Linked DNA regions of Lytechinus pictus. Each later gene encodes a partner of the first gene's protein in a complex. Links are inferred from orthologs where the notes say so. Each region holds a gene or a part of one and is shown in the gene's direction. Other genes may lie near its edges.

The links.
Region 2: nuclear pore complex protein Nup98-Nup96-like (region 1) and nuclear pore complex protein Nup107-like share a complex: the UniProt entries of both Drosophila melanogaster proteins name them as parts of the nuclear pore complex. The link is inferred for Lytechinus pictus from reciprocal best matches to the Drosophila melanogaster genes Nup98-96 and Nup107.
Region 3: nuclear pore complex protein Nup98-Nup96-like (region 1) and nuclear pore complex protein Nup85-like share a complex: the UniProt entries of both Drosophila melanogaster proteins name them as parts of the nuclear pore complex. The link is inferred for Lytechinus pictus from reciprocal best matches to the Drosophila melanogaster genes Nup98-96 and Nup75.
Region 4: nuclear pore complex protein Nup98-Nup96-like (region 1) and nuclear pore complex protein Nup54-like share a complex: the UniProt entries of both Drosophila melanogaster proteins name them as parts of the nuclear pore complex. The link is inferred for Lytechinus pictus from reciprocal best matches to the Drosophila melanogaster genes Nup98-96 and Nup54.

What each region holds. Positions count from the first base shown.
Region 1 is NC_087249.1:39,827,346-39,834,648, reverse strand, and holds the start of nuclear pore complex protein Nup98-Nup96-like, read left to right. Parts: upstream 1-4,284; 5' UTR 4,285-4,369; intron 4,370-4,531; exon of another isoform or gene 4,532-4,682; intron 4,683-6,498; exon of another isoform or gene 6,499-6,587; intron 6,588-7,303. UniProt on the Drosophila melanogaster protein: Part of the nuclear pore complex (NPC). Required for MAD import as part of the Nup107-160 complex and required for nuclear export of Moe probably via its association with Rae1. Plays a role in nuclear mRNA export.
Region 2 is NC_087256.1:7,089,871-7,097,271, forward strand, and holds the start of nuclear pore complex protein Nup107-like, read left to right. Parts: upstream 1-4,397; 5' UTR 4,398-4,417; coding exon 4,418-4,540; intron 4,541-4,560; exon of another isoform or gene 4,561-4,573; coding exon of another isoform or gene 4,574-4,603; intron 4,604-4,753; exon of another isoform or gene 4,754-4,892; intron 4,893-7,401. UniProt on the Drosophila melanogaster protein: Plays a role in nuclear pore complex (NPC) assembly and maintenance. Required for nuclear import of Mad. Mediates the association between the nuclear pore complex and a subset of active chromatin regions adjacent to lamin-associated domains.
Region 3 is NC_087254.1:31,799,144-31,806,377, reverse strand, and holds the start of nuclear pore complex protein Nup85-like, read left to right. Parts: upstream 1-4,227; 5' UTR 4,228-4,286; coding exon 4,287-4,319; intron 4,320-7,234. UniProt on the Drosophila melanogaster protein: Component of the nuclear pore complex (NPC) that seems to be required for NPC assembly and maintenance. Required for nuclear import of phosphorylated Mad via importin msk.
Region 4 is NW_026974140.1:2,132,994-2,140,675, reverse strand, and holds the start of nuclear pore complex protein Nup54-like, read left to right. Parts: upstream 1-4,665; 5' UTR 4,666-4,733; coding exon 4,734-4,824; intron 4,825-7,682. UniProt on the Drosophila melanogaster protein: Component of the nuclear pore complex (NPC), a complex required for the trafficking across the nuclear envelope. Essential for the nuclear import of nuclear localization signal (NLS)-containing proteins in an importin alpha/importin beta-dependent manner.

The sequences.
Region 1 (7,303 bases):
GAGTAATACATTCAAGCCTGTAGGCTAAGTTGCATTCAGTTTACAAGGGAACAAAATACAATGTATAAATTGATCAAGATATAACATTTCTAAATGTCCAATCAGCCAACATATTCAGGATAATGTTAGCATAGATTACAGCATTGCATAATAATAAATCATGATAAAGAGAGAACGAGAAAGTGAATATGAAAAAGAAAAAAAATGTTTCTTGTACTAGTACAAAAGCTGTGTCCTTTTTTATTTTCAAACTGCAGGTCAAGCTACTAGCAAGTCTCCTAAGCGTCCTAGGAAAGCTGCAGAGTATGCAGCAACTTACCAGCATGTTCTGCCTTCAGCCCGTGTCCTTGCACGTGAGAAACACATGCAAGCAATACAGCAAGAACGTAATGCTGCACTGGCTATTCTTGATGCATCTGGTGAAGACAAAGTGACTATACACTATGATACTACAACACGGCGTAGGATTTCTGGAGAGTGGACATCCATAATTGTCCGACTAGCAAGTGGGAAACTCTTCAGAATGCGACCTTTGTCTATGGCTCTTGAAAATCGAGAAAATATCACAAGGTTAATGGTTGAAGTTATCAAGCGTCTCTCTCTTGCTACGTGCAACCAAGCCTCACAAGAGGATCTGTGGAAGAAGGTTTTTGCATTTATGACTGACTCAGTTGCCAAAAACCTACACATTGAGTCTCAAATAGCAGCATCTCTTAACAGTCAGCACATACCTCTACACTTGTTGTGTGTGAGCCACACATGTGAGGTATTTGATGCAGGCAATATCTCTACCCTTGTTCAGCATGAAGTCAAGTTAGGGCTTCGTGAAAAGCTAATTGCACACATGCCGACCCTGAAATCCTTCCTCAAGAAGAGTGTAATCATAGCAGCAATACAGGCACTGACAAAACTAGTAAGTAATGATGGACACAAGTCGTCCATGTGGGAGATCTTCGAGTGTGAGGTTGCATCTGCAGGCAAAACAAAGAAGCACAGCCTCTTTAAAGAACGCCGATTTGCTCAGATGGGATACACTGCTGCGGCCATTCTATATCACATCCCAGAGTATGAGGCAACATTGCAGAACACCAAATCCAACAACCTACTTGTTCAAGCCTGCCATCTGTACCTTGAGTGTGACTTCATCATGCTAGCATTGAAGGTATTGGCCTGGTTCACATACTGCATAACCCTCCCATTCCTTAATATGGTAGAAGTCAGCTCTCAGAATGATCTAGTGACCATCCTCCCACGTCTTCATGATGATCTGCTGAATAACAAGACAGATACGCTGTCTTCATACAAGGTACCATACTCTTTCCAAGTGGAAAAACCAGAGACAACTGTAGGCATGTATCTTCTGCAGCAAATGTGTCAGCAAGCTGCCAAAGATTTAGCCACTCAGAGAGGACGTGAGTATGGATTTCAGCAAACAGCAGAAACGGGTTTGGCAGAACCTAGAGCAACTGAACTCCACAAACTCACACCAGAAGATCTCACCAATCTACCTACAAACAATTTGCAGTGTGAGCGGGATCTGTCAAAGTTTGACAAACTCGCAAAACGGTCTGCAGCTGCTTCCAATAGAAACTTCACCGGCAAGGGTATTCGAGATGATATGACTTTGAACAAGGCTGGTGTAGTAACTGTGGAAAAAGTGACCCATAACATTGCAAAAGTGTTGGATAAGAGTGAACAGAAATGGGTGGAAGAGCAACATCCTCTCTCAGGAAAAGCTTCAGCGAAATGTGGCCCAAGCACAACAAGCAGTAGAGTATGTGCATAGGCTGTTACAGAAATGTAAAACATGGGGAGGTCCTTTAACAAATGTTGATGAGCTTCAGGAATGCCTGGATACCCAAGATCCCACCAAGCTTAAAACTATGTTACGTGCAGAGCTGTCATATCGCAGACACATCTCCCATCGAGATTACTTGGTGCGCCCACACTTGTATAAGGTCAACCAACTATGTGAAACACAAATGAAGGTGAACTTGACTCTTCTATTGACTGGAGGAGAGTCTGATAATCTCCCTGCCCCTGATCTTCCAACTGAAGATGACATGGTGAATGCATTCAATCTAAAGCCATCCAGTGGGATCACACAGCCAACTGCCCATTCCAACCTTGAAGAAAATACCGATAAAGAAGTGGGCATCAATGAGTTCTGTATTGTGATATGGGATTACAAAGATAAACGAAACTGGTACCTTGGTATGTGTCGAGACCAAAATAAAGACGGATATGAAATCGAGCACATGGAAAGAGTGAAAGGAAAAGATCAGCATGAGCAATGGAGATGGCCAAAGAAAGATGATGTACATACAGTACTGCCGATGCAGATCCTTCCATGTAATGTAATTGGCTCATGGGATACAACTTCCAGCAGAAACATGACATTTGTGCTTGACAATTGGCATATTGTAGAAGGCTTATTCAAGTCATTTTACAATTAAATATGTACACCCACAGTGGACCTGTATGTACTCTCTGACTAGAGGTCTAATGACCAAAATCTTATTAATTGGTACTTTTAAGCAGATACAGTATTACTATTGGCTCCACAGTTACCATGCCTGTCGACTCGAAATTCACCAGCCACATACAGGTTTTCTGCTTGACACATACATGTATGTAAGTTATTTGTATACTTCTTGCTGTATTGTTTAAAATACAAAAAAAAAAACACCTTTAATAGCTAGAATTCATTATTAAGAATATCATAGCTAGCATGACTTGAAGAAAATACAGAAAAAAGTACAATTGCTGTTGGGGTAGGGGTGAAGGAGAATGAAAATTTAACATTAAATATGGGGAAAAGGTGAGTATAATGTAGAAGATTAGGTTTAACACCAAAAATATCATTATATTCAATTTCTTTGACCCCTAAAACATGGGGTTAGACACCAAAATTATTACAATAGACAAAAAAATGACCGAGTAACAGCCAAAATTGTCTCTTTTTAGCCAAAACGGCGGCCATCTTGGATTTTTTACGTTTTCGGTCAGGGCACCCCGGATTTCACATTTTTTTAATTTTTTTTTTCAAAAATGGTGTCAGCAGGCACAAACTCATCAAACTAGGGTGTGATGAGCATGTTCTGAAAATGTGACCTAATATTGACCCTCTATAGCCCACCTCTAATAGCATTAGTGATCTCGACATTCAAATGCTCATAACTCTTTTATTGCTAGTCCTATTTTACTCAAAGTTTTGTTGATCTTATTCTTTGATTTTTCTGCTTTCACAAAAGCTAACTTGCTCCAAGAGTTTCATTCTCCTTTAACCGATCATGCTCATCCCTGCAAAATCTTGTGAATTGTGAGACTTTCTTTCTCCAGGAATTTCAAGGCCAAATAATTATTATAATCACGTATTAAATTTTAGTATTAGTGGATCTATAATAAATTGTTCTTCAAAACGGCATTTTGTAACATCGCTAATCAAAGGTACGTCATACATGTCATAACGATGCGGTTCGATCAAGTGACAATTAAGGGTCAGACCTATTGTATTTGCTTTGTTGACAAACGGATCGAGGGATCTACACGAGATCGGTCTGACGTCTGGTAAGAAATCTTCAATTTTTAACCTTTTTATTAACCAATTTTTGAAACCTTCATACGCATTAGGCGTATGAAGGTGTAAAACTAAAATTTGCCAATAAGGCAATAATTTAAAATTTTAAAGAAAATCACGGCAGCCAAAATCACAAAGTGACAAACATTTATTTAGCCTAGGCCTACGTGATTTTTATCTTAGATGGATTTCCTAGGCCTTAGGGAAATCCATCATTGTTTTGATGAGTCTCTTATACATATATGGCAGGCGGTTCATCAAGGCTCCATGATGAAGTATATGTCAAAATATTAATAAATATCATCATGGAGATCAAGGCTAGTCCACGCCGCGCCTCCTGTATAGGCTGTACACCCAACAGCAGGAACTATGAATGGGACCTACATGTCGGTTTACGCAGCGTGGCCGCTTGCGACTGTCACTGACAGTGACACTGCACTGGGCAAGCCAACCAATGTTAGCTTTTGTTACGTACCTAAAATTGACTCCGAAAATATATCTCGCATGAAACTTCTACCATTGTAGACCTGTTTAATAGGCTTCCTTGTAGACGGTTTCTCAACATTTTCTGGAGAGCTCTCTTTTGTGGAACTGACTTTTTGTTTGGCTGATTCTGAACTTTCGTTGCTCCGGATTGACGCCATTTTGAACAGCTCCCTCTTCGCTCGCGAGCTGAGCGAGCGCGAGGCGCGGGTATTATGTGTGTATAACAGCGCAATACAGCATACCAGATTCAGACGGAAATGAGGCTAGATTAAACTGGATATTTTGACTTCAAGTTCTGTTCTGGTAAGGTTATTTCTGTATATTATGTATTAAAGCGAGATAACGCAGGCGTAACGTTTGGTACCGTACCGGTATATAAATTTCAGAATATAAACTTCCAATCAAATTAATATGAGTTTGTTGTCGCCTGTCGTCGAGTTTTTTTAATGTTGCCGAGTTCATGATCCATGTGATGAGGCCGATGTGCTAAGCGTAGGACTAGGTATGATGGTGGGCCCTTAGTCTGCGCACCTAACAATTTGAGTTAAGATTTAACATGAATTTCTTCTTATTTCACAAAATCTTTTGGATAATAATGTTCCTTATATTATTGAGAGTAAGTATACCAAATTTCTCATTAAAAAATAAAAGAAAATATAGGATTTTCTTGAAAAAACCTTGGGCAGTCATTTTCAGATTGAAAAAAAAAATGGTACCGGTACCCCATGTCTGCGCACTCATTCACTTTGCACACGATTCAGAGATTTTGATGAGAAAGGCTGTATTTTGAGGCCGTCACATGAAATGCCCTGAATTCATTATTTTTTCACCATTTTGAGTCGGATTTTTTTATGAATACCTGTCTATGTATTGCATGTGTAAAGTTCGTGCTCGTTGCGTATCTTCTTTTACTAGAATCGCGCAGATACGCGGGTGCGCAGACTTGGGAGACCGCACAGACATGGGGGAACTGACCATACATGTAGATATGTAGGCCTACATAGTACAGGTCTAACACAGTTGAGTTAGGTCGACTGTGAGTGTGAATGTGATGAGAAGTGATTGTGATTGACGACTTAGCTGAGCTGAGCTACATGTAGCAGACTGCAGAGATCTGTTATTATACTACTAGGGTGAGTGACTGGGCTGTTTAACTTAAGTTAGATCTTATTCTTGGTTTAGATTCTGACTTCAATTCAAATCCAGTAATGCAGTACCGTAAGTAACGGTGTATTAACCGCACCTTTTTCTCGGCGGGACAGAATCAAAAGTCGGGGGTGCGGTTTATACACGGTGACAGGTCTGAGCCAAGCCAATCTCAGCCCGATACCACTACCAGTTTTCAACTCGCGTCGGGTGGCCGAGCGTAGCCGCTTGGGGCAATCCCGTTTAGAGGGGTATGAGCCGCGGGTATAAAAGGGAAGCAACTATGACTACCGGTATCTGCCGTAAATGTCCCTCAAAGTTATATCACGGTAACAAACGCACCTACCTTCATGAAACTGACTTTTTTTAATGGTGTGACTCTGTCTTTGTTGTCATTTTTTAGTCATCGCGGCAAAGTTCAGACGCCAATCGATCGCACAGCGCGGTGCAGCTAGCCGAATAAGACATGCATGTGTAATGTTTATCGCAACGTCAACGTAAGCTGGCGCTTTACCTTTCCGTGGAAGTTATTTTGTTTGACAAATTATTGGTATTATTTGACAATTAATTTCTTTCATTTGCCTTTCCTTCATTTCTCTCTATCATCCATCATCTCAAAATCAATCTTCAATCCCCATCTTTACTCCTTCCGACTTTTTATTTTTAATTATCATTCACTTTATTCCTGCCCAGAGCTCCCATTGAAAATACGGTATACCGGTAGCCTACTAGCATTTTTTCCCCCTATTTTGCTGTCTGTAAGATACCGCCACACACGTACTGAGAACTACCGGTAGTGGTTCAAAGCAGACAAGAAAAACACCTGAACAAAATCGCAAATTTCATGTATCTTGAACCTTCCCGTATTCCCTTGTCTAAAATTCATGTCAAGACATTGAATGCTAGACAGAATTCTGAAAGCAAAAGTGGGGCTGTGATGCAGGAAATATGATATGAACGATCTTCTCGTATGGGTCCTACATGTCGGTTTACGCAGCGTGGCCGCTTGCGACTGTCACTGACAGTGACACTGGGCAAGCCAACCAATGTTAGCTTTTGTTACATACCTAAAATTGACTCCGAAAATATATCTTGCATGAAACTTCTACCATTGTAGACCTGTTTAATAGGCTTCCTTGTAGACGGTTTCTCAACATTTTCTGGAGAGCTCTCTTTTGTGGAACTGACTTTTTGTTTGGCTGATTCTGAACTTTCGTTGCTCCGGATTGACGCCATTTTGAACAGCTCCCTCTTCGCTCGCGAGCTGAGCGAGGCGCGGGTATTATGTGTGTATAACAGCGCAATACAGCATACCAGATTCAGACGGAAATGAGGCTAGATTAAACTGGATATTTTGACTTCAAGTTCTGTTCTGGTAAGGTTATTTCTGTATATTATGTATTAAAGCGAGATAACGCAGGCGTAACGTTTGGTACCGTACCGGTATATAAATTTCAGAATATAAACTTCCAATCAAATTAATATGAGTTTGTTGTCGCCTGTCGTCGAGTTTTTTTAATGTTGCCGAGTTCATGATCCATGTGATGAGGCCGATGTGCTAAGAATTCTGAAAGCAAAAGTGGGGCTGTGATGCAGGAAATATGATATGAACGAGCGGCGGCGGCGGCGTCAACATAAAATCTTAACCTAAGGTTAAGTTTTTGAAATGACATCATAACTTAGAAAGTATATGGACCTAGTTCATGAAACTTGGACATAAGGTTAATCAAGTATTAATGAACATCCTGCCCGAGTTTCAGGTCACATGACCAAGGTCATTTAGGGTCAATGAACTTAGACCATGTTGGGAAAATTATTTTCAAAATCTTAACCGAAGGTTAAGTTTTTGAAATGACATAACTTAGAAAGTATATGGACCTAGTTCATGAAACTTGGGCATAAGGATAATCAAGTATTAGTGAAAATCCTGGTCGAGTTTCAGGTCACGTGACCAAGGTCAAAGGTCATTTAGGGTCAATGAACTTTGGTCAAGTTGGGGGTATTTGTTGAATTACCATCATAACTTTGAAAATTTATGGATTTAGTTCATGAAACTTAGACATTAGGTTAATCAAGTACCACTGAATATCC
Region 2 (7,401 bases), on another chromosome or scaffold:
AAGAGCATACATATATCTCACCATATTCATCGAATGCAAACGCCAAGCACTTGCTGATTTAGTTAGAATTACACCTTAACACATCATTAGTGAAGCTCTTTTTGTAGTCAATGTGAAGGCATGATATACGTATCTCACTAATCATAATGTGAGCGCGAAGCGCAGCCTGATTTTTTTTTTAATTTAGACCTAAAGTAGTAAAGAGGATTGTTTGTAAGAATTCACTAAGACCATACATATTTCATTTTAATAATGCGAACGTGAAGCGCAAGCTTAACATTTTGGACATTCAGGCCAGAAAGGGGGGAATTTAAAGAACTGTTTTTTAAGAATTCATGAAGAGCATATCTCGCCAATCCATGCACTAATGCAAACATGCATAAGCACGACTAGAAATGTTTTATATTCAGACCTCAAAAGGGGGCGAGGCATGAGAAAGAAGTATATATGTCACTACATAAAAAAAAATAACTTAATAGGCCTATTTGACTTGAAACGTGATGTTTTAACAAAAGGATCAATAAACAGACAATGCGAGCAATGCGAGAACAAATTATGTTTTGTGACGTTATTATAGGCGTAGCTGGGCTCTATAATACAATAACATAATGATCCAATATACAGGGGCGGATCCAGCCTTCGCCAATAGGGGGGCCCGGAATTTTTTTTTCAGCCATATTTTCCCCGATCGGCCGCTCGAAGATGATTTTTGCCGGGATTTTTGGTTTCTTTGAAGGGGTAGTCCTAATAGTCACTTCTTAGCTTTATTCTTATGAATAAACATAAATATATAATACCATAATCCTTATTCACATAATGCGAGCGCAAAGCGCGAGCTAAATTTTTTTGGAAATCTTATGTATTTTTTCTAAAATTTTGAACATATTTGATTCTGGGCAATGTATGTTATCATGAAAAAGATGTGTATGCAAATTAATAATTACTACGAACGTGAAGCGCAAGCAAAAACGAACTGATGGAAAAAGTACTGTTAAAGACTGCTTGCAGTTAGCCATGAAGACATTACATATTTTAAAAATCAAATAATGCGAGCGTGAAGCGCGAGCTGAAATTTTTTGACAGTTTTACCTAAGGAATGGAAATTCTAAGCACTTTTTGTTAAAATAGAATAGGTATATAACTAAACAATTGATACGAGCGCGAATGGCAAGCTGAAAAATTCGAGATTTAGACCTACTGAACGAGACACTCTATTCAGGTGTTGTAAATCGTGAAAAGGATGAGTAAGTGGGGATCTTCCTTACATTAATAATGCGAGCGCAAAGCGCCAGCAGAACATTTTTATATACGTTTTGAACTGATCGAAAATGTACCTGTTAAGGACTGCTTGCACTTAGTCATGAAGACATTACATATTTCAACATTCAAATAATGCGAGCGCGAAGCGCGAGCTGAAAAATTTTGACATTTCTACGTAAAGAATGTAAAATTTTAATCAATTTTTGTAATCGTGAACAAGATAGGTATATAACGAAACAATTGATGCGAGCGCGAAGCGCGAGCGGACAAAATCGAGATTTAGACCTAAAAACGGGACACTCTATTCATGTTTTGTAAATCATGAAAAGAATGAGTAATAGGGGGCCTTCCTACATTATAATAATGCGAGCACAAAGCGTGAGCAGAAAGTTTTTTATATTGTGATCTGAAACTGGATAATGATTTAAAGGTCAAGTCCACCCCAGAAAAATTTTGATTCGAATCAATAGAGAAAAATCTAACAAGCATAATGCTGATTTCATCAAAATCGGATGTAAAATAAGAAAGTTGTGACATTGAAAGTTTCGCGTATTTTTCTCAAAACAGTTATATGCACAACTCAGTGATATGCAAATGAGAGAGTATATGATGTCCATCACTCACTATTTCTTTTGCTATTTATTGCTTGAATTATACAATATTTGAAATTTTACAGAATTGACAATAATGTAGAACTTGACTGAACCACATAATGTTAAACAATGTTAATTCAACATGTTCAGGAAGGAATAAAACTCGATTTCACATGACAAGGGGGAGAAAATCAAAATATTTCATATAGTAGAATACAAAAGAAATAGTGAGTGGCGACGTCATCAGTCCCCTCATTTGCATACCAACCAGGATTGCATATAACTGTTTTGTGAAACTTATTAAGCGAAACTTTAAAAGGCCATAACTTTCTTATTTTACCTCCGATTTTGACGAAATTTTCAATGTTATGTTTGTTGGATTTTTCTCTTTTTATTCCAATCCACTTTTTGTTGGGGTGGACTTTTCCTTTAAATAGAGAACAAGTTGACTATCTGAATAAACATGCGCGCGCATGTTTCATATTTAGACCTAGAATCTAGGCATTCTAAATACATTTTTTATTATGAAAATCAAAGCGAGCGCGAAGCGCGAGTTTAAACTATTTGATATTCCGATCTGAAAAAAAGAGTCAATTTCAGCTCTATATTTAAAGCACTTTGTAGGAAAATTGTGAGGTGGATATGGATCGCACTTAATAAAGAGCTGATATTTTTAATAATTATTACTTTGAGTTTTAACATAGGACCGGGACATCCTTAGGATATGCAAATGAAAATGATGACTATCTTCCTATTCCTCTTGTTAAGTGCGAGATGAAACAAAGGGGACAATTTAATTATTAAATGAATATCTCATTCATTAATGCCTAATGAGGGCGCGAAATCTGATGATATTATGGCCTGAAAACTGGACATTTCAAGAACTTTTGTAATTATAAATATAGGATGCATCAAGTTAATATATTTTAACCATTAATGCGAGCGCAAATCGCGAACCAAAATTTTTGATGAACTGTCATGAAAAGGGGATTTTAAGTTGTTTGTTGTATAATCAATATTGAGAAATATATAACTCGCCAATCAAAATCTAGCTGATATGTTTTGACAATACACCTGAAAAGTGATATTTTGACAACTTTATGGAATACACGAAAATAATAGGTACCTGCTAAATCAAAATTTGCGAGCGCGCAGCACGATCAGAAAATGTTAATATTCAGACTATAAAACTGACATTTTTATAAAGCACTTTTTAGAAACAATTTGTAAATCACACAAAATAATGAAAGTTCGATTTCCGAGGTGAAGTATGTTTTGTATATTCACTTCCAAACTTGCGAGCGCGAAGTGCGAGCGAAAATTTTATACAGTGACATATGAAAGATTCTTTTTATTTTCCAAGTCTTCTCCTCATCATATTTTATTCACTCATCTTCCTCCTCTTCTTTTTTCTCCTCTCTTTTCCCCCCTTTTCTCCCTTTTTTCGTTCTTTCCCTTTTTTTTGCTCCGCGCCAATAGGGGGGGGGGGGGCGGGCCCCTCGGCCCCCCCTGGATCCGCCTATGATCTACAAATTAATTTCTTCTTCCCCCGCTACGTTTCTCTTTAATTCTTTCTCCCCTTTTCTCCTTTTCCCTTTTTGCCAGCCGTCCCCCGTATACGCCTTCTATTGTAAGGTGAGTAAAAACAAAAAAAAAACGGTAGTTATGTGCGAACAGCTTTTGTCTAGAGTCTAGACAAAAGCTGTTCGCACATGACTACCGTTTTTTTTTTTTTTGAAATAGGTCTACCGTCTAGACTCTAGACTAGACGGTAGACCTATTTTCAAAAAATAATGATATGTCACGGCTCCAGTGCAAAATAAATTGAAGTGGTCAATTCGTACTTTATATTATGTACAGTTATTTTTATGTAATAATACTATACTTCTCAGAGAAGGTAGTGATGGTTTATAAGACTTCACAAATAAAAAGTTAAACTGAACATTAAACTTAATAACTTTTATAATTTTTGATGGATTTCCCACAAAACCTCCACCTAACGTTAGATCTTTTTAAAATTATTTTACAACGAACGCTGAGGTAACTTCCGTGGAGCGTTTCATGAAAGGACTTGTCTTATCCGACAAGTATACCCAGTTGTTGTGTGTCCGGACAGGTTGTGTGTCCGGACGATCAGTTTTAGAAAGTCATTTGGAAAAATTTACAAGCAAAGTTTCATAAAATGTTTAGTACGAAATGTTAGGTAATATTATAGAGAACAAAACAGAAGATGATTACAACTATTGAATTCGTATTTTTAGTGTAATCCAAAGACAAAAAAGAAGGCTTCAAAAATATTAAGTGTCCGGACACCCCACCCCCCCATCCTTTTATCCGACAGTTACTATGGTAACAGTGCCTCTCATCCTATCATTATGAAGGAAAGTTGTCAGACCTGACAACTTGTCGGATGAAAATATTGATGAAACGCTCCCCAGATCATAGAGTTAAATAGAAGCTTCCGATCCCTTTTTAATTCAGCATGCACGGCCGGAGCGTGGCGAGCGCACGACGCGTGGTACCGGTACGTTCAGTTCAAACGAGTTGGACGAATTTCTAGTAAAATGGCAACACTCGCGGCGGGAAAGAAAAATGTGCGAAAAAAAGAATCAGCTGTTCGTCCTCCAGACCGTATTTCCGGTTCTTTTGTTGAGCCAGGTGATACCACAATGGCAGATATTTGGAAGGTTCGTTTCATCAATGTGGAACATTTGATTTACATGAATTTCTTGATATCTATTAAGTTTTGGGTAGGCCTACCCGACAGTCATTGCGTTGCCCCACCTACTCATTTTTATGTGTGTTGACTGTTGTTACTTGCGAATTGCGGCCAGTGGCCTAACTTAGTAACTAACGACGTTAGATTCTAACGACAACGTTACGTAAGTTAGGCCCTATGGCCTATTGCCCACTCGCACTAGTACGACTACGAGGCTAGTATGTATGCTCTACTAATCTCGTATACCGAACTGCGTTTGGCCCTGGATTAATTAAGTAGGCCTAGACGGTCGACGGCAAGTCATCGCTTCATTGCAGAAAGTATGCATGATTGACGTTTATCTTGTCGGTAAATCCTATAAAAAAGAGACAGAAAAAGAAACTATAGACTATAGTCTAGTCTCTAGACGACTAGAGGGGTCTATCGTAAACTACGTCTACATTTAAATATTGATTATTGAATATAGTATAGTGCCCAAAAATGTTGGACACTTCTTAAGCATAATTGGACCAAAACAAAAAGGCAATCATTGATGACGTTTATCAGTAGAGGTGCACAGCCAAGCCCAAGCAATATTGGAGACTATCTCCAATGTGGGAGAGTATCTCCAATATCAGAGACTTTTGTAAAGAATTTTGGTATCCAATTTTAGAGACAGTCTCCAGTTTTGGAGACCAATTTCCTTTGTTTACATTTGCTGCAAAAGGATTACCTTGGCGGCAAATAAAAATGTGATAAGCAGATTCCTCATGAGAAATTACCCCTTTTCACCGTCTACTTAAAAAATTCACCGTCTACTTTTGTCTTGATAAGGATTTTTGTTGTCAATCACACACAAAACAATTGGGCTTCTGACCTCAGTGAGACAAAATTTTGGGTGGAAAAAATCATGCTTTTGTTGGTGTTGTTTCTTTTGTCCTTTTGCAAAGCAAGTCTCCAATGGCAATGTGGGAGATTGTCTCCCCTATTGGAGAGAGTCTCCCATATTGGCTGTGCGCCTCTACTGTTTATTTCCGTAGAGGGCGTATTATCCGGCCTCCCCTTATCCAGATCTATTTTTGGACGCACACTTGCCAAGATTTTTTTTTTCAATTCAATCTAGTACGTTAGCTTAGGAAATGAGATTTCAATCTAAACTCAATCCTATAAAGTATAGTAGGCCTATACACAGACTCACTTGGATTACATATATTTTCCAATATAGTCTACCTACATACCGGTACAACAACATTAAGTCACTATTTTTCATGAAAATCACAGAAAGAACTTGGGCAGGATAATTTTATCACGTTCTCTTTTTTTGTTTTTCCCGGGAAAAACAACGCATGTCTCGCTAGCTAACACTAGGCCTTGATACGGACAGCGCCATCTATCATGTTTGAGCCTACAGTCATAACAATGGCTGACATTGCGAAGCTGCGATAGCCGCGATGATCTAATTGTAAAACTTTCATTGAGTCATTTTCTTTATTTCGAGGTATGCTCGATGTATACCTCACTCATTTTAGCAGGTAAACTATCGAACAATTTTGGCCATCGATCGATTTCATTTCCGTAAAAATACCGCCTATAATTTGCACTGACACTGCAGTGAATACTGTCTGTATGCCCACTACAATAGATAACATGTAGCTACAGCCATTAATGTTGGGGAGGTAGCAGCTGCGTGTATTTAATATTTATTGGGTCTCCCAGATCTGGATAAATCCCTTATCTGGATTGGTGCTGGTCCCAACGTGTCCGGATAAGAGAGGTCGGACTGTATTAAATTGTTTTAGAATAAAAAAAAATTATGGTAAATGGAAATTAGTTTCAAAATATCGGACGCGTAGAGTTGTGCACCCTGATCAATTTCGGGGCTTTAAATCGCGCTCTAGACCCCAAAATAATTGCTTAGTTGTTAAGTCCAATATCGAAACAAAGTGTAGCAAGAGAACATGGTTATTGGAAATCACTGTCATCCGACCATTCCAAGGTAACAAAGTTGGACATCCTGTATGGATTTTCTGATTTCTTTTTCTTCTCTTTGCCTTTCTTTCCCACAGGAATGAATGCTCCAGGGTGCCGTAACTTCCAAATGATTCCTTGGAAGTTGTCTTTGTCTTCTTGCTTTTCTTCGCTTTCTGTCTATTTCTCTGTGAGTAGTAGCAGGAAGGTGATAACTGAGATGATGCCAGGCGCTTGGTGGTAGTTGGGTTTGGCGACGGTGACGATGCTTGAGTGCGGGAAATACGATGATCCGGTTACTCCCCCGCTCCACCATCCCGAAGATCCATATTTTCAATCCTCTCGGATCGCAGCGGTGATACTTGGTATGCCATCCAAAATGGCTCTCGTCAATCTCCACCTCTCCTCGGAGTACTTCTGTCCCTCACAAATTTCCGGCATTGGTCACGGAGGAAGTTTGCCCAATCCACCGCCGATTTGTTGTAGTCCATTCCCGACTCTACTGCACATCTGTGAAGGAGGTTCCAAGCTTCCATTCCCTCAGAAAGATGAATATTTCCTTGACATCAAAATGGACTCCTTTGAAGAATGAATGCTTATGAACAGAAAAGTTCCGCTCGTGTTGCCATGTCACACTTCCCCAACACCGCCATATCTTTCCTTCCTTTTAGCACAGTTGACAAGTTTACAAGGTCTTGTGCAAATATCACAGTAGATTTGACTGACTTGCAATCAATCTCTTATCTTGAAATCACTTGTAAAGAAAATTGTTGCTCTGGGAGAGTAAAAGATGGAATGAAAAGGGATTCCTTAAATGCTGAATATCCAGTAGAGCTGGATCCTTTTTCCTCATAGACCAAGCCATCGTTGCCTTTTCTTCAG
Region 3 (7,234 bases), on another chromosome or scaffold:
AACTGAATGTAAAATTTGTCTGATAAATCCAGCGAGAAGAGCGAAAACTTCTGAAGTGTAATGCTTTGAAATACAAAATGTCATGTCCGCTACTCTGCAATTTCCCATATAATTATAAACAGGACAAGTAATGATGTGTGTAAAGAAGTGGCAGGGAAATCTACTATTTTAACTTTGAACAAGAAAACTGAACAGTTTGTTCAAATATAATGTCTCAATATGCAATAGTGGGCTTTAGTACTTTTGATTAATGATGAATTTTAGTGCAAATTCCTCTTCTAACAAATATACACTATCATTAAGGTTATTTTTAAGTAATTGCAATTCATGTTATAACGATAATGGAAATCGATTTTTGGTTTCCAATAGCTTCCGATACAAGACAATGTTTTTTAAAGACAGATTACTTCATACCAGACTGCACAGTGTCCTTATCATGCTAGTACATTCTTCTGTTGCCGATATGAAACTGAACATGAATGGAGATAATGAATCGCACCGCAAGAGTTTAATAACTGCTTGAATTGCTACCATAAACATAGAAATCGCTAACAGTTGATTGTAAACCTATATTAACGCCGGTTAACACTTAACTGAATGGTACATAATAATGGTAATTACATCCGGTTAGCGTTGCTTAGCTTTTTCACGGAAGAAGAAGAAGAATAGGGAGGGTGAAAAGATGATGATGATGATGACGATGATGATGATGATGATGATGATAATGATGATAATGGTGGTGGTGATGATGATGATGATGATAATGGTGATAATGATGATGATGATGGTGACGATGAACATGATTATGATGATGGTGATGATAATGATGGTGATGATGATGGTGATGATGGTGATGGTGATGATGATGATGGTGATGATGATGGTGATGATGGTGATGATGGTGATGATGGTGATGACGATGATGATGGGTGTGTATCAGCATCAGGGATGTGTCAAAATAAAGCCCACCCCCCAAAAAAAAAAGTGCTTTACATGACATTATCAATAAGAGGCACGGGTCGTAAGTCGCGTTATGCTATCACTTTTTGTGAGGACCGTTTTTGGCTATGCGTTTCTCGACTTATCTTTTGCAGTCGCATGGAGTACTGATATAAGGCGTCTATTTATAAATTGGGTTTGGAGGCCGCAATCATCTAGTACTTCCAAAGCCCGGGGTTCCAAAGACACAAATGTCATTTCAGAGTAGGATAACCAACAAAAATGTGTGAGCAAATAGGTTTAAGCTTTATATATATATATATATATATATATATATATATATATATATATATTATATATAATGACTGTATACGAAACTGCAGTTACTGAAAAGTGCTCAACCACATGTGATGTACATATAGAAGCTTCATGTAGTATAGTAATAGGGTGGAGCGAGTTGCTTAGATTTTAGTTGTATAGACTGTTTCCCCCCGAGGGTTCACCAGCTGATGAACCCTCGGGGGGAAACAGTCTGTACAACTAAAATCTAAGCAACTCGCTCCACCCTATTACTATACTATATATATATATATATATATATATATATATGTAAAGTTATACATGTACAACATGTATATATATATATATATATATATATGTGTGTGTGTGTGTGTGTGTGTGTGTAGGGGTGTGTGTGTGTGTGTGTGTGAATGTAAGAACAATGGAAAACTCGGTTGTGCCCCACCCCCCACCCCTGAGGAGAGATTTCCGCCCTTGTGATCTATACAATTAAGTAGTGTTTTCTTTATTCCCTCATTTCCACGTTTATATTCTACAAATTAATGTGTTGTAATTATTCTGTAATTGATTTGTACTTGATTTGTATTTGTATTTGCTTATGCAGGCCTATATGTGATGTATATTTGATTTGTATTTGTCTATGATACCGTTGAACTAGATATGAGAATGGGGAGAATTTAGATAATCCCGACCTTTCGTTGGAGAACGCGAACGCTTATTTATGACGGTAGTTGATTTTGGAAGAGACTTTTAGGCCCGTCGTCATGGTCGTAAAACTCTGTCCTGCAATGCAAATTGTGTGACATGAGATTTTTTTACGTTTCGCATCTGCAACGGAAACATTCAATATGCGTTTCGTGTGCAAAATTATGGTTGCTTCTATGGTAACAGCGATATATCCGATTTAGGACGACTTTCCAGAGCCACATTTGGCTCCTCCCAGAGCTCGAGAGGCCGCCTGGGGGGCCCACTTCCATTGCCGAGTGGATACCAGGCGCAACCACGCGTAAAAGGGGACAGAGTGGGCAAGTACGTTACGTACTAGTATATAGGCCTTTGTAACGTTATAAGGGTGTCAATGTTTAAAAAAGTGATATATTTCCAATACTTGTAGGGTTTCACAAGCCAAATACTTAAGAGATGCATTTTCATAATCTGGAAAAACCTTGCTTCGATCCTTGTTTAGGTTGCTTTTCGAAACCGCATGGTCGTGCCTGGTATCCATTCATCAATGGAAGTGGTCCCCATTTGAATCTAATCCCCCATTTCTGGGGAAAGTAAAACATAATTACATTGCATTGTGTGCTAGAGGCATATTGTTTGTGTAGGGGAGTAAACAAAAGAAAAAACCCGCAATTTCGGCTGGTATTCAGAGGTATATATGCTATGTAGATATCAAATCATGCGAAATGGTTTCAGCTGGAGAGGTCATCTGACCCATGGAATCAATTGCCAGTGATCCACCAATAATCCACATTAAATACAATATCGATTCGATGGACTGTAATGATCTATATTATCTAAGCCTTAATTCAGTAAGTTTTTCCTCACTCAATATGTACTCGATTTGTTTGAAAAAACACTTTTTTATCCAAGTCATAATCTATTGTGGGCCCTGCCCCGGGCCCTGCATTTCGAATATCTCCAGCCAGCTGTCATAGCTAGTAGAGGTTCGCCGCCGGCTCAGGGGGCATATACGATGATGACCAGACGTACACATGCATGAAAACGGGTGTCGCGTGAAAGAGTTTGCACACGAAAAGCAGATCTATATAGGGCCTGTATCACAAAGCTTAGCAATGAATGTAGAACAGTTTTATATGATTGATTCCATTGATTATAATGTACAATTACTCGTGAAAATCGAATGTACGATTAGGGGACCCTAATCTTACCGTCCCTGAGGTTTGCGAAAGGTGGCTATTATGACAAAACGACGAGTTGCTGAGACACAGGGTTCGAGCAACCATCTGTGCTTGAGGTGGTTTAATTGAAGAAAAAAAATCAATCTCTCGATCGAGGCTCGACATTCCCGGGGTCGAACGGATCGAACCCTAGCCTCTTGTCGAGGCCCTGGCGGCTGCTTCCCGAGCGAATTAGGATATCCCTCGCTTCGCTCGGGAAGCAGCCGCCAGGGCCTCGACAAGAGGCTAATCGAACCCTCAACACGAATGCATTCAGTTAATGTATATATGGATTGATATATAGTATATATATGTGTGTATATATATATATATAATATATATAAATACATGTATTCAATTCCCCCCCCCCCCCCAAACTCACCCAAAATCACTTTCCATCCTACAAGGGCTCGTCTCCCAAAGTAGGTAGGATTTAAAGGCGTCTTGTCTCCGGGAAAGATCGAGACTTCACAGACGTTGATGTTCACATCAACGGGACAGACGTATCCCCATACTCCGGTACGGGTGTAGGATTGGATATGTGATTTTCCTCATTTCCTTTCTCTGTCATCTCCATCCTAGGTTCACTTGCATACTAGTAGGCCTATACATCTAACATATTTTGAGTAAAAGCCCTGGTTTTAATTTTTTGAGACACACCTACTCGACTTTATATCCTCGATACCCTAAAAATAAAAAAATAATTAAAAAAAATAAATAGAAAAGAAAAAGAAGAGAAAAAGAAAGAAAAAAAAAATATTTGAATTTTACTTTATATAATTTTTTTTTTCAAAGAAAACAACGTGAATAATGCAATATTTATGATGGCGAAAATAGTCAAATTCATGGTTGCCAAATAAAAAGAAAAAGAAGAACCCCCCCCCCCCCGAACCTTCGGCCACCCCGCGCCGACCAGCGCCATCCAGTAATCGATTAGTCTGCTGTGCAAACCCTTCACTAGAGTTAAGGGTCTGAATTGCAGCCTATTTATGCCTCGTTTACTGAAACAGCAAGTTTTGTATGTGCTAGTCTTTGCGTGGAGACATACTTGTTGATCAAAATTTCAATCAGGGTCTGTGCCTGCAGACTAGTAATCGATAGCCGGCGATCGACGTTCGCGTTCAGCGATTTTAAAGGAACAAAATGGCGGCGTACGAGCGGGAAATTCCATTTTTGGTACGTATTTTTAACGTTATTATGGTACGTTATCTATTTTTGTGGTAATCAGTAATTATTTGTTTGTTCGCTTTATATCTTAGGTCAACTGAAAATGTTTTATTTCGAGATTTTCAGTCAAAATCCGTGATGGAATTTGTTTGTTGGGTTTTATCTTCATAACCGTTACAAATAAATTAACATGTGGGACTGTCTGAGTAGGACCTGTCTCGAAGTCGAACTCTGGCTCTGAAACTGATCTGATATGCCAACCAGCGGGAGCGGCGCGGTGGAGCTTCCCTTCACTGCTTCAGCATGTTCAGACCTAGACAGCTGGCAGCCGTCTGTTTCGAGGAGTTTTTTAACATTTTTTATTTTTTTAATTTCTCCTCATACACAGACTGCTCGCTATCGTGCAGCCACCATTAGCAGATTAGGGCCGGGACTTACAATGCAAAATCCCCCCGTCGGGGCTCTTTATTTTTTGTCTTAAAAAGTTTAATGAATCAAACTTTTGAAAATTAACGCGACCGAAATGCAAATTAATATTCCCTCTTGGCATCGATTGCCAAAAAAACGAGGAAAATCAAGTTAAAAGGAACAAAAACAGTGACTTACCTCGGCTGTCGCGCAACTTCACTGCCCTGTTTTATCCAAACTTAATACACATAAACATATGCCACATATGGCCATTGAGTCCCCTGTAGGATGCACTCCTAGTACCAATGAGGTCCAACATTACATGTATGGACCTCATAGGCGACATCAGTAGTATTTTTGGTTAGAAATCTCTGAGAACAGGATATTTATACATTATATCACAAGTACAAGCTATATTCCTTTCTCTTATTTAAATTATAATTTTATAGTGTAAATGCATCGTTAGCAACAACAAAAAATGAAAGAAATGAAGGGGAACTTACATTTTCACGGCTTTTTCCTGATTTTCTGGGCAGCTGCTCTTCTCTTCTGACTCGCGATCGAAGCTGATATGAAGATCACGTGATTCGCGTTCTCGTCAGCTGATCGGTTGGTTATTCTTTTCGTCAGACGTTAATAATATATATTTTATAATGCTAGCATTCATCCCTAATTTAGGTGAAAGAGATTGAAGTTAAACAGCGCCAGGTCGGAATCATAATTATTTTGGAAGAGTGTATTTGTACACTCGATCTCATACCTGACGTAGACGGCGCTATTCAACAAATGCACAATCTTCAATATAAAAAATAAAACAGAAAGAACGCCTTGAACACAGGCCAAAATGCCTAACGATTTCTCCGCGGCATTAACAACTATCGTAAAGGGCGCTCCATTTATCAATAAAGATGGATGCTAAGCTGTCTATGGCGACAAAATTTGCCGCAAATATTTACGAAGAATTGTGAGAAATGGTCTGAAAATGCAACAAAAGAACCGGTGAGTACCGATTAAACATTATTAAAGTTGTAAATAGATTATACATACCTTGTAGATTTAGTTTTTAAGGTGATATTAGTGCTTAGTTCTAAGCTAGGGAGGCCCAAACGCGCGTGAGTGGAGTCCCAGTTTATTAGCACGGGTAAGTATTGGGGTGTCGCCTAGAGTGGTAGGATGGGGGGTCGGGTGTCCGGACACTTTATATTTTGAGGCCTTCTTTTTTGTCTTTGGATTGCACTAAAAATATGAATTCGATAGTTGTAATCATCTTCTATTAGGGTGTCTGGAGAAAAATATTATTTTTCTTATTTCAAGAAAATATCACATTTTCTTTGTGAATTTGAAGAGAAATGACCTTCAGACTGACAGAAATGTAACATTTTTGAAAAAAATCCGATTATTGGCTGCAAAAAAGAAGAATGAAATTAGGTCAATTTTCAGCATTTCTCTGCCATAGACTGTGTAGTTAAGAAATGGACACACACAAATCCAAATTTTTAGCTTCCGAGAGCTGTTATAAATTTATTATTAATGCCAAAAACTTGTCCATAAAGAGTCGAATAGGATTTTTTATGCTCTTTCTGATGGTATGATTTTTATAAAGATTTGGAAACCAGGGGCCCGTTTCTCAACACATGGACAAGTTAGTCATATCTTTATCCACCAACCACGGAGTTAGTACCAATCTTACTAAACCTGTTTCTCGAAAGGCTTCCTAACTAGAATACCTTGATATCGATAATATCGGTAAAAAGAGCAGACGAGACGTAGCCTTAGTCACAAAATAGCATAATTTTCAAATAGAAAATTATTACAAAATTGCAAATATTATGATGAATTGGGAAATAAATCTTTTCAAAATAATAGCACAGGTGAATTATGCATCATACATACTTAGACCATGAAGACTGGAGCATTCAATTGCAGAGAAAATTAGATTATGAATAATTCATTTCATGACTAAAAAATCACTTGTGGACGTTGAGATGGGTACCCCCGGGAGACCCAATTTTAATTGTTTACGAAAGTAAACCATAACGGTTTTCTTTGTAAAATGATGATAATTATACGGACTTTAACGATTCCAAACGTCATCAAAATATAGTTTAACGAATCATTTTTAATCATTGATACCGAAAGATACGATATTGGACAAATTATATGCATAAATTAGAGATAGAATTCATCCAACTGTTAAGAGGGGTCTGAAAACAACAAATACGAGTTCAGTTATGGATGGCCTGACGTGGTAAAATCTTTATCGATTAAATCATTTTGCTATTTCAAAATTAATGGTTTTGTGGCGTTTACCAACAGTTTTTATAGTTTCTTTGTTTTACAATTATCATTGAATGCATTAACCCACTTGTTTTGTGATGTAATTTCAACCTCTATGATTGATTATGTAAGATTATAATTTTAAAATTTCTAGGCACTTTCGCATGTCATAGTCTACCCACGTGATGCCACTACGTCATTAAGAAAGAAGTTAAGACAGGTTCGGAGGTGTCATAAAT
Region 4 (7,682 bases), on another chromosome or scaffold:
GCTATCGTACTTATGTCACAAAGCACTATCGAGGAATAATGATCACGCCAATATCATTTGGAACAAAACTTAATTTGAACAGTTCTTTGCATTATCACAACATTGATAGTTGATTTTCCATGGATTTAGACTGTGGCAAAGCATGTCTATCGTTCCCAATATATAAATGTGTTGAGAATGATAAATATTAATGAAATTCATTTGTCGTATTGGCAAAGGAAAGTTTTCGCCAATTAATAAGTAAGCTTTAGCTTTGCTTTCTGATTCATCTCAATACGAATTGACTTGGCATTATCTGGTTTATGATTAAATAAAAATGTATTTAGGTTAGAATTTAAATCAATTTGCAAAGCATGTCAATACAGTCTTAGTTTTGACCAATCTTCAATGCAAAAATAGGATCATATTTGTGATCGAAGAAATGTTCCTCGATAAGCTCTTGCTAGTGAATAGAGTTAAAATATAATTTGTTTGTGGCCAGACTACAATGCATCAACTAGTTTTGTGATCAATCGAGATGGTATCTCAATGAGATCTTGCATGGGAACTCCATGACAAACTTTGGTTGCAATCAATTTACAATATATTCCAATCAAGTCTTTTGAGCGAAATTATACTGCATCACAACAAGATATTGGTTGTCAACAATGTAAAGTGTATTTGAGTAAGATTGTTGGTTGTGAGCATTACTGCACAACAAGGTTCTGGTTGTGAACAGTCTAATCATAAGATCTTGGTAATGGATACTTTAAACTACATCTTGATCATGTCTTGGCTGTGATTAGTATACTGCTATTAAAAATATACTGCATGATGCTCGCAGCGAGAATCTCGTTGCGAACAACATGCAGCACACTTTCAATAAGTCAGTTTTGATCGATCATCCTGCATTTTCAAGAAAATGTTATTATTAATCTATAGTAATTTTACAAAAAAGATCTTAGATATGAGCAAAGCATATTTCATCACAACAGGAAGTTGGTTGTGATCGATCTACAATGATCTGTCTCATGACATCATAGATTTATATCAGACCACATCGCCTACAGAGATACTGCATATGGCCAATTATTAGTTCTACTATTTTATGTGGGTTGTAGTTTGGAGGATTCATTTGGCCCCGTATGGGTTTAATATGTCTCAATCTTGGCTTAGGCGATAAGCCACACCGCCCATATAGATACCACATGGAGCCTATATGGTTTTATTTCATGGATTCTAGGTAGAACCCAGCTGGGGCCAATATGGGTGTGATATGTTTCTATCTGGGCTCAGGCGATGAGACACATCGCCCATATAGATACCACATGGGGCCCATATGGTTTTATAATGTGGGTTCGTGGGAGGACCCATATGGGCCCCATATGGGTTTGATATGTCTCTATCTGGGCTCAGGCGATAAACATCATCGCCCCTATAGATGGCGCATGGGGCCCATATGGTTTACTTATTTTTTGGTTTCAGGTAGGACCAATATATTGGGCCCATATGGGTTTGATACGTTTCTTTCTGGGCTCAAGCGATCCCATATACATACAAAGTGGGGCCCATATGGTTTTACTTCGTAGGTTCTAGGTGGGAAGACCCATATAGGCCCCATATGGCTTAGATATGTCTCTATCTGGGATCAGGCGATTTCCATATGGAAACAACATGGGGCCCATATGGTTTTATTATATGGATTCGTGGGAGGACCCATATGGGCCCCAAATGGGTTTTATATTTTTCTATCTGGGCTCAGTCGACCCAGGAATATGCCACTTCGCCCATATAGATACCACATGGGGCCCATATGGTTTTATTATGTGGGTTCTAGGTGGGAAAACCCATATGGGCCCCATATCGGTTTTATATGTTTCTATCTGGGCTCAGTCGATCCATAATTATGCCACTTCGCCCATATAAATACCACATGGGGCCCATATGGTTTTATTATGTGGGTTCTAGGTGGGAAAACCCATATGGGCCCCATATCGGTTTTATATGTTTCTATCTGGGCTCAGTCGATCCATAATTATGCCACTTCGCCCATATAGATACCACATGGGGCCCATATGGTTTTATTATGTGGGTTCTAGGTGGGAAAACCCATATAGGCCCCATATGGGTTTTATATGTTTCTATCTGGGCTCAGTCGATCCATAATTATGCCACTTCGCCCATGTAGATACCACATGGGGCCCATATGGTTTTATTATGTGGGTTCTAGGTGGGAAAACCCATATGGGCCCCATATGGGTTTTATATGTTCCTATATGGGCTCAGGCGATCTATAATTATGCCACTTCGCCCATATAGATACCACATGGGGCCCATATGGTTTTATTATGTGGGTTCTAGGTGGGAAAACCCATATAGGCCCCATATGGGTTTTATATGTTTTTATCTGGGCTCAGTCGATCCATAATTATGCCACTTCGCCCATATAGATACCACATGGGGCCCATATGGTTTTATTATGTGGGTTCTAGGTGGGAAAACCCATATGGGCCCCATATGGGTTTTATATGTTCCTATATGGGCTCAGGCGATCCATAATTATGCCACTTCGCCCATATAGATACCACATGGGGCCCATATGGTTTTATTATTTGGGTTTTAGGTGGGAAAACCCATATAGGCCCCATATGGGTTTTATATGTTTCTATCTGGGCTCAGCTAGTCGATCCATAATTATGCCACTTCGCCCATATAGATACCACATGGGGCCCATATGGTTTTATTATGTGGGTTCTAGGTGGGAAAACCCATATAGGCCCCATTTGGGTTTTATATGTTTCTATCTGGGCTCAGTCGATCCATAATAATGCCACTTCGCCCATATAGATACCACATGGGGCCCATATGGTTTTATTATGTGGGTTCTATGTGGGAAAACACATATGGGCCCCATATGGGTTTTATATGTTCCTATATGGGCTCAGCTAGCGATCCATAATTATGCCACTTCGCCCATATAGATACCACATGGGGCCCATATGGTTTTATTATGTGGGTTCTAGGTGGGAAAACCCATATAGGCCCCATATGGGTTTTATATGTTTCTATATGGGCCCGGTCGACCCTGAAATAAGACCACATCGCCCATATATATAGATACCACATGGGGCCCATATGGTTTTTATTATCTGGGTTCTAGGTGGGACAAACCATATGGGCCACATATGGGTTTTACATGGTACATATGGGCCCCAGTAGGCCCACATGATTCCCATATGGGCCCCAGATACTAGTTGCTATCTGGGATATGTCAATGTTTGTAAACTTCATAGAATGATTGCTTAAAAGAAGAAAGCCCTTGAAACAATAATACTAAAAAACAAATGGCCGAAGCTGCAGGGTAGATTTCTGAATTGTTATGTTCAGTGGCGTACCGTGGGTCACGGCATGGGGGGCACCAGCACTGAAATTATGTCTCACTTAGTGCATGGGCGCGCGTAGCGCGCTCAATTGCCAGGTAGGCCTATACTGACCTGAAAGAGAAATTTTAAAGATTGTGCCATTAAACGGATATGTATCACACTGATCGATTAATGCGAGCGCGAAGCACGAGCTGAAATTTTTATATTCAGACCTAAAGAGGAGACATTATAAGCTATTTTTTTACCATCATGATACATACCTGTGTCACTGAACAAACAATGCGAGCGCACAGCGTGAGCTGATTTTTTGTGTGCATATATTGACCCCAAACAGGGATAGGACGTTTTTTTTAGAAATTCATGAACAGCATACGTATCTCACCACAGCCATCTAATGCGAGCGCCAAGCGCTTGCATATTTTGTTAGAATTACATTTAAAAACATGAAACACTTTTTGTAGTCATTGTATAATCATGAACATGATAAGTATATCATTAATCAAATATTGCGAGCCCGAAGCGCGAGCTGAAAATTTTGTTAAATTCAAACCTGAAGAGGGGCATTCTAATGCTTGCTCGCAGGCATTCACTCAGACCATAAGTATTTCAATATACAATGATGTGAGCGCGAAGCGCGATCAAATTTTCGATATTCAGACTAGAAAAACTGACATTTTTGGAATTGTTTTTTAGAATTCATGAAGAGCTAATATATCTCACCAATCCACTAACGCGAACGTAAGTATGAATTGGAAATGTTTTATATTCAGACCTTAAAAGGGGGTAATCACTTTAGGTAATCATGAAAAAGAAGCATATCATGCCACTACCTAGCTAAAACAATGATAACTGCATGGAACTATATGCCTATTTGGTGTATATTGACTTGAAAGGGGGATGTCTTAGTACACCAAGAATTAAACAGACAATGCAAGCACCAGGAATGATGAACACATAGGCCCTGAGCAAATTATGTTTCATAAAGTTATGAAAATTATTTTATTTATGTAATACCCGGTATAATATAATGTAACATACCGATACTATAATATAATATACAATAATTTTTCATCCCCCACTACGTTTTTCTTTCTTTCTCCCTCTTTTTCTCCTTTTCCACGTTTTTTTTGGCCAGCCGATTGGGGGGGGGGGGGGCACGTGCCCCTCATGCCCCCCCCCGTAGTTACGCCACTGGTTATGTTACTCTCAAAGACTGCAAAAATCTGCAAAAACTCAAGGCCCTATAATATTACATGTATATAAAAGGCCTTGCAAAATAGTGTCCCTGTATAGGGACACTATTGCAAAAGTTGTGCCAGCGCCATCTATCGAAAATTTCGAATAAACTTTGTATTCACAATATCATTCAAGATGTCGTTCAACTTTGGCGGTACGAACACATTTGGCGGGCAAAATAAACCATCTTTCGGTGGATTTGGTTCTACCTCAACTGGGACATCAGGTGAGATATTTTGTATATCATGACTCCATGTAAAATATATCAATAAGACGTCTAACTGTTAGGCCTACCAAGTTTTTTACTGTCATAGACTGCAAGAATTTGACCGGACACAGTCACCCGACCAAAAATGAGGCCCAACATGCCCGACGCCGTAGGGGCAGCTTCTGTGTCGATCCCGCTGTGCATGACGTTGCGTTGGCGGCGCTAACAACAGTAGGATGGGGGAACGGGTGTCCGGACAGTTTATATTTTTTCGGCCTTCTTTTTTGTCTTTGGATTGCACTAAAAATATGAATTCGATAGTTGTAATCATCTTCTATTTTGTTCTCTATAATATTTCCTAACATTTTGTAATAACATTTGATGAAACTTCACTTGTAAATTTTTCCAAATGATTTTCTAAATTGATCGTCCGGACACACAACCTGTCCGGACACACAACAACTGGGTTTACTAACATAACAGTAACAGTTCTGGATCTGGATGGTTGATGTATGATGGTGGGCCCCAAGTCTGCGCACCTAACAATTTGAGTTAAGATTTAACATGAATTTCTTCTTATTTCACAAAATCTTTCGGTTAATAGTGTTCCTTATATTATTAAGAGTAAGTGTACCAAATTTCTCATTAAAAATGAAAGAAAATATAAGATTTTCTTGAAAAAACCTCGGGCAGTCATTTTCAGATTGAAAAAAAAATGGTACCCCATGTCTGCACACTCATTCACTTTGCACACGATTCGGGGATTTTGATGACAAAGGCTGCATTTTGAGGCCGTCACATGAAATGCCCTGAATTAATTATTTTTCCACCATGTTGAGTCAGATTTTTTTATGAATACCTGTCTATGTATTGCATGTGTAAAGTTCGTGCTCGTTGCATATCTTCTTTTACTAGAATCGCGCAGATACGCGGGTGCGCAGACTTGGGAGACCGCGCAGACATGGGGGAACTGACCATATATTAAACGCCTGGTGTGTGTGGCTCACTCACACGTATTGCGAGGTTAGTAATAGTATTAGTATACTAACCTCGCACCATGAACCGCGTTTGGCAGTGGATTTCTAACTAGTCATGCTAGTAGGGACAGTGATTTTCCGTTTCTAAAAATGCCTTTTCCGTTTCAGAAAATCACAAATTCCGTTTCAGCATGTCTGAAAACGGAAATTCCGTTTCCCCATAGACTTTGTGTACATGAAAAAGTGACAATTCCGTTTACATTGAAAACCAATACGCAATGAGTAGCGCGATGTCAAAATGCTAGCGCTGGTCAAAATTTGCATCTACCAATGTACTAACATCGCTTTAAAATCCATTTTAATCGAAGAGATTCGAGCTCAAAAACTATTTAGAGAAACACAATCAACATTAATACATCCTCACCTTTCATATTATTAGCATTATTTTATGGTTTCATGGGATTTTATCGCTGATTTGGGGACTTTTCGGACATCGTATTGAGCAGTCGACGACTTCCGCCTATCCGCCATTTTGGATTTGTTGAATCACCGTGATCATTGTATCATGACCGAACGCAGAGGGCAGCAACACACGGCCGAATTCTGCCTTATATGCGGACGTCAGTGTAAACTAATTTGGATACGATCGAGTGATGGAGGGGCTCGAGTGCAGTATTGTTACGATTTGTTGATTGTCATGATTGTTGTTGCAAAGTGAGATCGTGTTTTTTTCAGTTGATATTCGTATTTTGTTGAGGATTTGGGATTCATTTCTGTTGATATTTTGTGCATTTTGAGAAAAAACAAGTTTTCTGTGATTTTCCGTTTGAAAAGCCGCTTTCCGTTTCAAAAGGCCGATTCCGTGAATTCCGTTCGTTTTCCGCGATCGCGGAAAATCACTGTCCCTAGTACTGTAGTACTACTACATGTACTAGTATACCCAGTTGTTGTGTGTCCGGACAGGTTGTGTGTCCGGACGATCAATTTTAGAAAGTCATTTGGAAAAATTTACAAGCGAAGTTTCGTAATTTTTTAGTACAAAATTTTAGGAAATATTATAAAGAACAAAATAGAAGTATTGAATTCATATTTTTAGTGTAATACAAAGACAAAAAAGAAGGCTTCAAAAATATAAAGTGTCCGGACACCCGACCCCCCATCCTACTGTAGTAGTGGGTCGCGCGGGCGCTAATGCAGTTTCGCACCGGTCGATTACCACTACCACCATACCTCACCACCAGTAACTGTTCACAAATGTCCTAGCAAGTCTCTCAGTCACATTTCGAGGTCCAAATATCGCGATCAGGAACGGCTGCATTTTGGCTTCGCTCTTGACATCGTCGTGCGAATCCTCAGTCATGGCTCATGCATCGCTTCGCTTGGTTTCGCCGTGCTCCACACGCAGGGTTGTAATAAAAAACGTTTTTTATTCAAAAAAACGAAAAAAACGTTTTTTATTGTTTTAAAACGTTTTAAATCGTTTTAAAACGTTTTTTTTTTCCAACGAACGATGAAATTTTCTGTAAATCAATTAAACTATACACCTAATACAGTACAGTTTAAGCTCTTGATGTTTTAAATACATTTTTGGAGTAAGTAAGATATAACTACAATTTTTTTTACTGAATTTCCAATAGAAAAGTTCATATTTTCCCCCAAATTACTCTAAATCATTGATATTGAATGCAAAAAAGTAAGTTGACATTTTATAAGTTCATTCCTCATACATATACATACATACTTTTGAGTCTTGTCAATCTATAGGGGTGAGAAGAATTTGCACAATGTATTAATGAAATAATCTATAGACTATGGGCTTTCAAAGCTTAATTTCATTTAATCAATATGCTTCATTTCATTTTAATTAATTATAGTATTATACAGATTTTAGTGTACAAA